2 linked regions of the Caenorhabditis elegans genome follow. The protein of the gene in region 2 interacts with the protein of the main gene of each other region in a pairwise test. Each region holds a gene or a part of one and is shown on either strand. Other genes may lie near its edges.

Region 1 (5,356 bases), on a different chromosome or scaffold from region 2:
CAAAACCTGATGTAAGTAAAAACTATCCAGGCTTTGAAATCCAGCCTGGATAGTTTTATCCAGACATATTTCAGATTCACAAAAAAGACTACAAAAAGGATGTAGTCTATCTGTATCAGATGAAGAGACTCAAGAACTGTCCGAACTTGTCCCCTTTCTGCATGAAAATCGAGATTCTTTGTAGAATCTTCAAGATTCCTTACGAGGTATTTTCTTACCAGATAGGTATTTAAACTTTATCACTCGATTCAAAAATAAATAATTTTAAAGTAGGAATCCGTAAATATCTGTAAAAAAATCAAGCGTTTCCAAAATTTCATTTTTTAAATTTCAGAAATGTAGAGTTTCTCTAAAACTTTTTTTTTTTTGCAAATTTCAATGTGTTTAGGATGCTTAAAAGTATACGAACATTTTGAAAATTATTTTTCATCTAAAAATTTTTCGGAATTTTTTTTTCGAAAGCCCAACATATTTCAAAAAGCTTATACTTTATAGAGAATGATCGCCTTTCTCCAAAAAAAGTTTCAGCGCCTTATCCTCAATCAATTTATAGATTATCACATGCACCTCTGAACGCTCTCGGAATGGATTGGTCCCTTTCGTTGAACTCAATGGAGAGCACATTGCTGATTCTGATCTTATCGAAATGCGCTTGAGATCACATTTTAAAATTCCGGTGAGTGAAACTTTATTCTGTTACATCTTATATTTCTGTAACTTTGCAGTCGCTTCCAACTGAGCTGGAAACTCAATCTGTTGCTCTAAGCAAGTTTGCAGATCACCATTTGTTCTTGTAAGTAAACTTACAAACTATGGTTCCCGTTGTCATAAAACTTTTATTTCAGCGTACTTATACGATTTAAAATTGCTGTCGACGAATTCTACAAAACCATTATTGAAATAATCGGTCTCCCAACCTTCCTGAATTTCCTTCTCATGCCCCTTTTGAAGGCTATAATCGGGAAAAATGTCTACAACAAATGTCAGGGAGCCATTGGAGATTTTGAATTGAGTGAGCTCGACGAGATTCTTCACAGAGATTTGCGAATCGTAGAGAACACCTTGGCCAAGAAAAAGTTTCTTTTCGGGGAGGAAATCACGGCGGTAAATACACAGTCTAATAAAATTGTATCTGGCAAGAAATTATTTATTTTCAGGCGGATGCAACAGTCTTCTCTCAATTGGCAACTGTCTATTATCCATTCCGCAATCACATTTCGGATGTTCTCGAAAAGGACTTCCCAAAGTTATTGGAGTACTGTGAAAGAGTTCGTCATGAAGTTTACCCAAAGGACTTTACTATGTGAATTAAATTGTCAAACTAGTAGTCAGATCAATAAAATTTTACGTGGTGTTTTACGTTTTAAACGTATACATACTTCAATTCGCGAGCAAGGCAGGGTCCAAAAAGCCTGCCTCGTCGACTTTCGGCGACCTCCTTCTGCCTCTCGCCACACCAACAATACAGTGCGGTAAAAAAATACAACAAGAATCGGGCGCACATGGTGCAATTGTTTGTAAACCGGGCAGTTTTCAGACAAACGTCAGGCGATGAATTATTGTCGACGAAGCATATGACGTCACAAGAACTTTATTGTATAACGCAAGCTGAAAAATACTTGTGTATATTTGGGGCAACTGATAGAGGTCAAATTACATGGTGTATTTATTACCATTCTGACAAAAAGTTATTATTCATTCGTAGCTTCATACAATGGGCATTGTTTTCCTTTTAAATTATACACATTTGAAATGTATCCGCTGTGTTGAATCACGTCCAATGTTTTTTGCAGAGCTTGCAAGATGCCAATCACTTGAGCAACTCGGAGTTCATTTTCTGGATAGTTTGATTTTTCATACTCAGTGAGTTCTTTTAAAACTTGAGTACGCATCCGTTGACACTCTTCCAAACACTTTTCAGATTGATTTTCAATTCCAAAATCCCAGTAGATGAGTGCACATAGAAATAGAAATTCAGATTGATCCAAGTTTACAGGAAACACTTCAGTTTTCATGGTTTTCTCATTCATTTGCCAGAATCTTTGTAGAATTCTGAAAATTTTTATTCTTTAGGATAAAAATTGAATGGTATAAAACCTACACTTGAGAGTTCTTCCCTCTCTCATCTTCACCTGTTTCCAAATGTTGATATACTTTGTCTAATTTGGATACGTCAATGATATCATTATTTGGTAAAATGTATGTAGGTTTCCCTGAAGAGATTTTTACCGCTTAACTTAAAATTACTATAAAACTGTCTTACCAAATGCTCTAAAAGCTACTTCAAGAAGTGAAAATCGAATAATGAAGTGGGTAGATAAAACCTTATTTTGATTGTTTTCCAATGAAGATTTAGATTCAAAAAATTGAATGAAATGCGTGGAAATTAGTTTTATGTCAATTTCGAACATGTCATCCAGTTCCTGGTGATTGCAGTACTTGGGGATTTTGTTCTGAAATTAGAAAAATTAGTATTAGATTAACTACTGAAATCTTATGACTGGCCGAGGAAAACCGAAAAACTCACTTTTCTATCGAAAACATTGTCTCTGGAGTTTTCCAATTTATCGTATGCTTTTTCAAGTCCCGACAATATAGTTTGATTGTTTTCACTTCTCCTATTGACTGGTGTCCGGGAAGCTACAACTTTTTCCAACATTCCAATTTTCAAACACTTTTGAAATCGACAACTTTGACAAGTTTTTCGGTGATATTTTCCAAGATCACAAGCACCATTGCACCGTTTTGGTATTCTAGCTTTTGAAACTATCTTGCGTCGGAAAAATTCTGCGCAAGCCCTGAACAATTGTCGGAATTATAAATTTTATAACATAAATTCAATACTAAAAACTTACCTACATGAAACTGCCCCAAACCGGATACTATAAGATATCTCTCCGCACACCATACACGGCTGATTTTCAGATTTTTTAGACATTTTATTTCAGAAAAGAAATTTAAAATTTAGTTAAGAAGTGTGTATCGGTAGGATAGAGACGCAGAATGAAAAAGAAACAATTTGTCGAGACATGTTTTCTTATCTTTAATGTAGTCTGCGTAGGGCCGTGATACGTTTTTGAGAAATTAATTGATTAAAATAAAAATAGGAAATATGGATTATTAAATTTGCTCTTCGTTTATTATAACTTTAAAGTTATTCCCTGAGTTTATCATTTGTTTTTGGCATTCTCCAAATCTCCAGTGGTTTTCAATTTTACCATTAAATTATTGAAAGTAAAATATGATCGGGTTAACACTCGTATAACAAACTCTACCGGTCTCTAAAATATAAAAAAATTGTTCAAGAAATCATGAAATCCACTATTTGCCATTTAATTTTGACGTGGATATTGTGAAACCAAAAAATGCATCTGTGCAAATAAATAACTGCAAAAACTATACTTTTTGTAAGTTGGATTTATAGTATTTTGAGTATTTTCAAGTGACTGTAAAAAATCACACTGAATTGCGGATAGAAATATGTCTTATAGAATAATTATTATTCCTTTAAAAAAGTAAGAATATTTGAAACTATCCAAAAGAGCAAGCAAAATGTGCAATTACATTTTTTGGCCGGCGTTGGCCAGACAGGTATTCTTCTGTTCAAACAATTCAAAACTAAAACTGGGTGCACTAAGAGCAATTTGGTAAGGAGACTGTTCGAAACAGGTGTTCAAAGTTACTCTGAACTAGTATAAAATACATGGTCTGACAGTGGAAACTTCCCTCTTCGGCTCTCGTCTTGGTCACACAGAGAAGCTCAATTAAATCAGCAGAATGATTGCTTTGGTTTCATTCATCCTGGCACTTCTGGCCCCACAAGCCAGTGCAGTCATTGGAGGAGATCTTAACTGTACATCTTACAACGGAACTGCTGTAAGTTTTCGGGATACTGCCGCTTTTACGCATCTTAAGATTTTCAGTTTGTCTGGAACGCAGCTGCCACTGCATGCAGCAATGTCATCTCCGATTCATCCTGCGCAGTTCTGTACCCTGCCCCAGTTGCAGCTGACGGATATCCATCACCAGGAAGAGATCAGCAGAGACCATTGGCTTGTTATACGACTGCTACCGCGACTCCAGCTGCTGTAGTTCAAGACATGAAGAATGCAGCTCAGAGCACATGCCCAAGAACTTGCGGATTATGTTGTCAGACTTCTGGTTACAACTGCCCAAATGTTGCATGTGAGTCAAACTCATGCTTCAGTAGTTCTACGGCTTCTGTAATCTTGTCTGTTCTAGAAAATAGAGAACCAAAGACAATCGATGCTATCTAGTCTAACTGGTCTGTTTTTTCAGATCCACGTCTCAACTGTGGCACCATCACCGCCTCCCAATGTCTGTCACCGGTTTGGAGACCAATTATCGCTGCGGACTGTCCATCTGCCTGCGGATTCTGCAATGAGGGAGGATGCGTTGATGCTATTCCCGACTGTGCAAATGACATAAGAATTTGCACCGCCGCTGGACTCGAAACCTTTGTGGCCACCTACTGCCAGAGAACCTGTGGAAAATGTGCATCTTCAACAACTACCCGATCATCTGCTTCTACTGGAACCTGTTCTTCTTTCATCGCTGATACCAGTCCATCATGTGCTGCCTGGGCTGGAAAGAACTTCTGCACCAACACTTTCTACACTCTCGCACAGAGAAGACAATACTGTGCGACTACTTGCAGAATCTGCTGATTTCTTGATACCTCTTTGACCAACTTGAGACGATGAGCACACATTAGGGGATGACGACGAACATGATATTAGAGTTTTTGGTATTGATGTTTAGTATTATATATTTCGTGCCTGACCAACATGATTCAATAAATACTAACACTTGCATTTCATCAACAATGTTAAAAAGCATAATTCCTATAATCGTAGCACAAGAGCAACAGTAAATATCTGTATATCAGCCCGTAATTGAATTTTTCCAGAGGCGGAAATATGCCAAAAAAAGTGTTTAACTTTCCACTATTCATTCAACAAGTTTTTGAGACAATTTTCCAAATTGCAAAGGCAAATGAAAAAGAGATTAACAGAAAAATCAAACAAGAAAACTTGAGCACAATGAATCAAACTAACAGTCATGCAATAATCTAATAAAAAAGGGATAAAATAACATTACAAGTTGGGCAACAAAGGAATGTAGATCGGCAAAAGAAGAACATGCACACATACTGGGGCGGAGGAAGAGGGCGCTGTGAGTAGTTCACATCGGAATGTCTCGGCTCACAGATGGTTCTCCAAACGAGTTCTGAAAATATTGAAATTTTACAGCTTGAAATCTTTGACTCTTTTGATGACCAGATACTCCAAATTGCCATATCAACTCACCATTGAGTGAAACAACTTGTTGGCAT
Region 2 (6,743 bases):
CAGAACATCCAGAAAACCGGAAAGTGCTGCACCCATCAATGGATCAACTCCTTGTATGTCTTTCATGAGGACCGATCCGTGTTTCAGAAGAATTTTCACAACTTCCACATTTCCACTTTCTGCAGCGTCATGAAGAGCCGTATTTCCTCTCTCGGTTTTCTTGTTCACATCGATTCCGGTTTTTAGGAGCTCTTCCACAATTCCAACCTACAAAATTTTAGTTTTTCTCATATTTTGTTAATTAAAAATTTCAAAATCATACTTTATTTCTGTAGGATGCAATCATCAGGCACGTATGACCATGACGATTCGGTATATGTGGATCTGCACCTTTTTCGAGTAAATATTTCACTGAAAATCTTATTTTTAAAAAAGCTTCTTCGACTTCAAGGAATTACCAATATCCAAGTGTCCATCGTAACATGCACCTCTTAATGGAGTACTTCTTGTGTTAGTTGCTTGATTTACATCTGCATTTGCCTTTTCGATCAAGAGCTTTACGATCTGAAATCGAAATAAAACATTATTGCATTAAATAATGAAATATTTTTCACTTCAATGTGTCCAGCAGCGGAGGCAGCCCACAAAGGAGGTGTTCCTTCTGAAAACTATTGTTTTATTTTCTTTTCAGAACAGAAATAAAAACTTACGAATGTTTTCGTTGTCAAATTCCACAACACCACGAACAGATGGATCGGCTCCAATTTCTAGCTGAAAATCTTCTCATTTAATTAATTAATTTTCATTTTTCCCACCAAATATTCGACGACATTTGCGTGTCCATTTCTTGCAGCAATCACAAGTGGATATCGTCCGTCTTGATCAGAATTGAAGCAATCAATTATCCATTGTCGATCGTTTCTTGAATTTATTGTGAAAACCTGGAAATTCATTTATTTTGACAACTTTTCTTTAACTTGAGCTTTTTGCTTACTTTAATTCTCTGCAAATTTCCAACCGCCGCAGCATTATAAATTACTGTTCGAAAATGATGTCCATTTGGTGTCATACCGCCAATTTTTCCAAAAAAAAACTGGCGGAATTTTAATAGAAATTGCAGAAATTCGAGAAGAAAAAGAAAAGAAAATACTCCTCGTGATTTGTCGTCGGATAGGGTGCACGGTCTGCAATCTGACGTGAGGATTATTGCGGAGTGCTCGAAATTTTGAGTTCAGCGCCGCGGCGGAAATATCGGATATCAGAGATTTTCCCGTCGGTTTTGTCAACTTTTGCCTCAATTTTATCAATTTTTCCGTAAAAATCTCAAAGATCGTTACTGTTTGTATCATTGTTTGAAACAAACTACGCAGAATGATGCAAAATTGTATAGGAACTCCCATGGTTGACATTTTCCCAGGGAAAAATGAGTAAGTGGCAGGATCGAAAAGATGATATAAAAGTTGGCGTTCACAGTCAATCGAAGGCCAAGTAGACTATCTGAATTTCTATTTGCGCACATTTTATCACTTGTTATCACTGGTGTGTTCAAATGCATTGTTTTTCACTTTGTGATCACTGGCAGTTGTTCTTTCTCATTTCAAACATCATTTCGCAACTGCCTCGTCATTTTTACTCTTCTCCTCGTAAAACTCTTTATATAAATGATACTCTCATTTCGATTCAAAAATTTTAAATTTTACAGATGGAAAATCTCATTCCTGTCGTCAATAAACTACAGGATGTTTTCGCAACGTTAGGCAGGAAAGAAGATCAAATTCAACTTCCACAGATTGTAGTCGTCGGATCACAGTCGGCCGGAAAGTCTTCAGTGCTCGAAAATCTAGTCGGTCGGGATTTTCTGCCGCGTGGTACTGGAATTGTCACTCGCAGGCCATTGATTCTTCAGTTAAATCACGTTGCTCTCGATGATGAATCCAAAAGAAGACGGTCAAATGGAACACTTCTCACAGATGATTGGGCAATGTTCGAACATACTGGCTCTAAGGTTTTCACAGGTGAGAATTTAGTAATTTGAATATTGCGAGAAATTTAAACAATTTTCCAGACTTCGATGCCGTGCGAAAAGAAATCGAAGATGAAACTGATCGTGTAACTGGAGTGAATAAAGGAATCTCTCTTCTTCCAATCAGTTTGAAAATTTATTCCCACAGAGTTGTCTCCCTCTCCCTGGTCGATCTTCCCGGCATCACAAAGATCCCAGTTGGTGATCAACCAGTCAATATTGAAGAGCAAATCCGTGAAATGATTCTTCTCTACATTTCAAATCCTTCTTCTATCATTCTGGCTGTAACTCCAGCGAACCAGGATTTCGCTACTTCGGAGCCTATCAAGTTAGCTAGAGAAGTGGACGCAGGTGGACAAAGAACTCTCGCAGTTCTCACGAAATTGGATTTGATGGATCAAGGAACTGATGCGATGGACGTATTAATGGGGAAAGTGATTCCAGTAAAGTTGGGAATTATTGGAGTCGTTAATCGATCTCAACAGAATATTCTCGACAACAAACTGATCGTGGATGCAGTGAAAGATGAGCAAAGCTTTATGCAAAAGAAATATCCAACATTAGCTAGCAGAAATGGAACTCCTTATTTGGCAAAGAGATTGAATATGGTAAGAATTTCAATAAATAAAAAATTATTTAGAAATTAATTTCAGCTTCTCATGCACCATATTCGCAACTGTCTTCCTGCACTGAAAGCCCGCGTGTCTATCATGAACGCCCAATGCCAATCGGATCTTGTTGCATTCGGTGAACCAGTTGAAGATAAGAACAGAACACTTCTTCAAATCATAACTCGATTCGCAACTGCTTATACATCAACTATCGAAGGAACTGCCCGCAATATTGAAACAACTGAGCTATGCGGAGGTGCTCGTATATGCTACATTTTCCACGATACCTTCGGAAGATCTTTGGAATCTGTCAATCCATTGGAAAACCTCACACAATTGGATATTTTGACTGCGATTAGAAACGCGACAGGACCAAGGCCAGCTCTTTTCGTACCAGAAGTCTCATTTGAATTGCTTGTCAAGCGACAAATTCAACGATTGGAGGAGCCATCGTTGAGATGCGTTGAGCTGGTACACGAAGAAATGCAACGAATGGTTCAGCATTGCGGATTCACTACTCAACAGGAGATGATTCGTTTCCCAAGATTGTACGATAAAATCAATGAGGTCGTTAGTGGAGTTCTGAAAGAGAGGCTGAAGCCCACCAATGAGCTTGTCGAGAATCTTGTAGCCATTGAACTTGCTTACATTAATACAAAACATCCAGAATTCACAGAAGCCAATTTGGTGACACTTTTGAAAGAGGAGCTTCTTCTCGACGATCGGCATGGTCGCAGTAGAAATCGACATGCATCAACCGGAGAAAGAGCGGTCAGTGCTCATGGAGAACAGGTGGGGGCAGGAACTTCCTGCCAGGAAGTGCGGATGACTGACTGGGCTTTAATATTGCATGGGCTTAACCTCATTGGATTCCTAGTATTAAGCAGTCAAATTAAAACAATTTTCAGCAGCTACAACCGGTACCAGGAGTTAATGGTGTCGACTTGAACGCTGTTCTTCAACAACAACAGCAGCAATCCCAGAACCAACGTGCTTCCAATGGATTCCTTGGATTATTCGGCAACGCCGCTGCCAGCAGCAAGACGTCCCCACAAGAAAGTCAGTGGAAAAATAAAGAGTTTGTGGTCATTCAGTATCTATATTTTCAGAGCAATCAGCAAATTTTTTGCCAGAAGTGCCAGAGACGCAACTAGGAAGAAAGTTGACAAGTCGTGAACAAAGAGATGTCGCTATTATCGGTATGAGACCTAGTTTTCAGTTTTTAATTTGGGTTTTTTTTTATTTTTTCAGAACGGCTTATTCGAAACTATTTCATCATTGTTCGTAAGAATATTCAGGATAGTGTGCCGAAAGCTATTATGGCGTTACTGGTCAATTTTGTTAGAGTGAGTTGCAAGCTTAAATTTAAAAATTTAAATTAATTTCTTTAATTTCAGGACAATTTGCAATCGGAGCTCGTTCGTCAGCTGTACAAACCCGACGAGATGGACGATTTGTTGGCTGAAACTGAAGACATGGCTCAGAGAAGAAGAGATACTCTTGAAACTATGAAGGTATTCGGTCTCCTTTTTGATTGGATTCGACACAATTTATTGTTTTCAGGCCCTCCAACAAGCCAGCGTGATCATCAGCGAAGTGAGAGAAACACAAGTTTGGTGATATTCCCATCAAATAATTTCCAGCTGTTTTAACTATTGCAATGTAGATTAGGACGATTCTAATTTTATTTTCACGATTGATTCGATTTATTGTATTTTAACTATTTTTCTTCTTCTCTTCGCCTCGATGATAATTCTAGTTCGGTAACTCCCCCGTTTCTGTATGATCTCTATGCTCCGTTCCCTTTGATGTTTTCTTTTCATGATAATATTGTGTGCTCCTTGAAAGAATCACGGTTTGTTGTAGATTCTAGTTTTTTTTGTGGCTTTTGAAAATATTGGAAACAGAAAGGTGGATTTATATGAAATTCTTTGATGATGCTTGAAAATATTTCGTGTTTATCGTTGATTTTCTCGTTGAACTATTTTTAATATCTTTTTTCCGACCCTTTAAAAAATGTTCACTCAACATGCGCCAATAGCACTGCTGGCGCATTTCGAGTGTCACTCGATCTGCGCCAACAGCTGAGATTGACCACGCCCATAGAACCGTGCGGCAATTGCGCTTTTGCTTCATCCGCACGGTTTTGAAAATTTTAGGATTCATTTTTTGTTTTGTCCAAAAAATTCATTTTCGATATTTCAGCGTTCAAAAAATGTCAACGCGAGCAAAGAAGAATAAGCCGTCAGAACCGTCATTCGACGATGAGCTCCTCATTTGGGAGTTCATTTACGAAAATACGTGTAATATGCAGTTGTTCGATGACGTGAATTTGGACCTCTTCAAGCAATATCTACAAGAACATGAGTCTGTGTTTACGGCGGAGCAGCTATACGAATTGTAAGTGTTTTTCATTTTTAGTTGTTTAAACTTTGACCAAACCAAAAGCTCTAATTTTCAATTTTCAGCTACGTTACAAGAATGAAAGCTACGCTTTACAAATGTGAGCTGGAGCCGCGAAAAATGCTCACTCTTTACAAGAACCTGGAGATCGAAATGAATCAACATGTCGAGACTTTACTGGAGGCCAGATTCAAAACTGTTCTGCGTGTTGACTCGAATAGATGTCTTCAGAAGTTCTCCGAGTTTTCAGCCCCGGAAACTATTCCCGAAACACTTGAAGAAACCGTCCCAGCAACCGCTCCAGAACCCGAACGTTCTCGAAAATTAGTGAATCGAATGCCGCTAGATGTAGAAATCTCCGATTCCTTCGAGAAGCTGATTTGGAATCATGTCTACCTAAACGCCGACCGTCTAACCGGGAAAATTGTGATGGCTGAAGAATTTTGGGACCAGCTGCTCCAATCACAACCGAATATTCCCATCAAGTCGGCTTACATTGTGCTCCACCATTTCAACATAAAGATGCTCGAGAACCTCTGGAAGCAGCCGATGGATCCGTATGCTAAAGCACGGCTCATAAGAGACTTGGCGGTGCCATTGAGTCTTCGTCAGCGTAAATGGATGCTCGACAATGATCGTCTGAATTTGAAATTGTCATTGAACGGATTTGTGGAAGACTGGGATATTGTGCCAGACCAGCCAGCTCCACGTAGCAAAATTCTTCCCTGGAGGCCAAGAACTCCGGCCGGACACCGAGACAGGTATCGGAAAATATCATTTCAGAAGTTTAACTAGAATTATTTCAGATCCCCCAGTAGTCCTATGGCACATCTAGACAATATTCAACCACCATCTCCGATTCAAGTTGTTTCGAATCCAACATTATCGTCCGAATTAAGTTCAAGAGCTTCCAGGGATCAACCAGGACCTTCACGCCCGCGATCGCAGTCAGCCAATGTACGTGAAACGTATGCGCCGAAAAGGATTGAGAAGCGAACGAAATTCACAGTCGACGATCATGTGGTTGCGTGGAAGTTTATCTATGAGAAGTTGGTTGAGGCAGATAAGGAAGGTGTCCAGTTGATGCCCAAGGGGATCGCGTTCTGGAACGATTTTGTCAGAGTCACACGATCGTCGAAAAGTGCAACTAATTGGAGTTCGCACTTTCGAAAGATCATGTGCCCAGGGCTCCACGAGATGCCACTTCACAAGAAAACCATTCTCTACCTGCTTAAGAATATTGGTATTGAAATTGATAAGGAGACTGAGCAAATGTAAGTTTAGAAGTCGTTCATAATCCATCGTAAAACTTACTCGTTTCAGCATCGAGCGAAAGTTTAACGTAAAGCTCCTCGTTGGAATAGACCGCAACTTGATATCCTATAAGCTTTTGGATGCAGAAGAAGAAGAAGTGATTGAGGAAGACGACGAATCGGAAGAAGTTGCTACTCTAGAGGTCATGGATGTTGATGATGAAGATCTGGATGAGACGGTTCCACTTGAATCAAATGAGGCCATGATTCATATGGATGAAAATCTCGATACATCAGTTTTGTCTAACAAAACGATGGATTCTGTGAACAATCTAGAGAATTCTATCACCGAGAGTACAAATGACTTTACCGTTTTCGAAGGTACAGCTGCCGCTGTGCTCCTGCCTTCTGAAGTTGTATCTCAAGATGTTTTTGGATCACAATCCGACTCAACGGTTCCAGAATCTGCTCCAGAGCCGGCCGAGATTTCTTCAAGTTTGGTGGATTCTGATG

Evidence for each region. The genes of interacting proteins can lie anywhere in the genome.
Region 1: the proteins of drp-1 (region 2) and nhr-108 interact in a two-hybrid assay, tested with the Caenorhabditis elegans proteins (one large-scale study listed by BioGRID).

Annotation. Positions count from the first base shown.
Region 1 is NC_003283.11:15,921,467-15,926,822, forward strand, and holds nhr-108 (Nuclear hormone receptor family member nhr-108), read right to left. Parts: upstream 3,007-5,356; 5' UTR 2,939-3,006; coding exon 2,856-2,938; intron 2,799-2,855; coding exon 2,528-2,798; intron 2,454-2,527; coding exon 2,264-2,453; intron 2,214-2,263; coding exon 2,102-2,213; intron 2,053-2,101; coding exon 1,692-2,052; 3' UTR 1,576-1,691; downstream 1-1,575. Other genes in the region: cdr-1 (CaDmium Responsive), read left to right, coding at 1-11, 75-206, 554-676, 726-793, 846-1,104, 1,158-1,307; F35E8.13 (ShKT domain-containing protein), read left to right, coding at 3,778-3,876, 3,924-4,185, 4,300-4,688; pzf-1 (Paired zinc finger protein 1), read right to left, coding at 5,206-5,250, 5,331-5,356. UniProt on the Caenorhabditis elegans protein: Orphan nuclear receptor.
Region 2 is NC_003282.8:5,536,848-5,543,590, forward strand, and holds drp-1 (Dynamin-1-like protein drp-1), read left to right. Parts: upstream 1-1,640; 5' UTR 1,641-1,642; coding exon 1,643-1,955; intron 1,956-2,005; coding exon 2,006-2,571; intron 2,572-2,616; coding exon 2,617-3,366; intron 3,367-3,482; coding exon 3,483-3,633; intron 3,634-3,683; coding exon 3,684-3,773; intron 3,774-3,825; coding exon 3,826-3,920; intron 3,921-3,971; coding exon 3,972-4,088; intron 4,089-4,137; coding exon 4,138-4,194; 3' UTR 4,195-4,518; downstream 4,519-6,743. Other genes in the region: Sex-determining protein fem-1, read right to left, coding at 1-207, 263-351, 399-504, 555-601, 651-711, 756-881, 935-1,009; tebp-2 (SPK domain-containing protein), read left to right, coding at 4,790-4,974, 5,043-5,738, 5,784-6,251, 6,301-6,743. UniProt on the Caenorhabditis elegans protein: Functions in mitochondrial division. Functions in peroxisomal division. Mediates membrane fission, perhaps mainly of the mitochondrial outer membrane. Mitochondrial fission may be promoted by recruitment to mitochondrial membranes via the egl-1/ced-9 complex.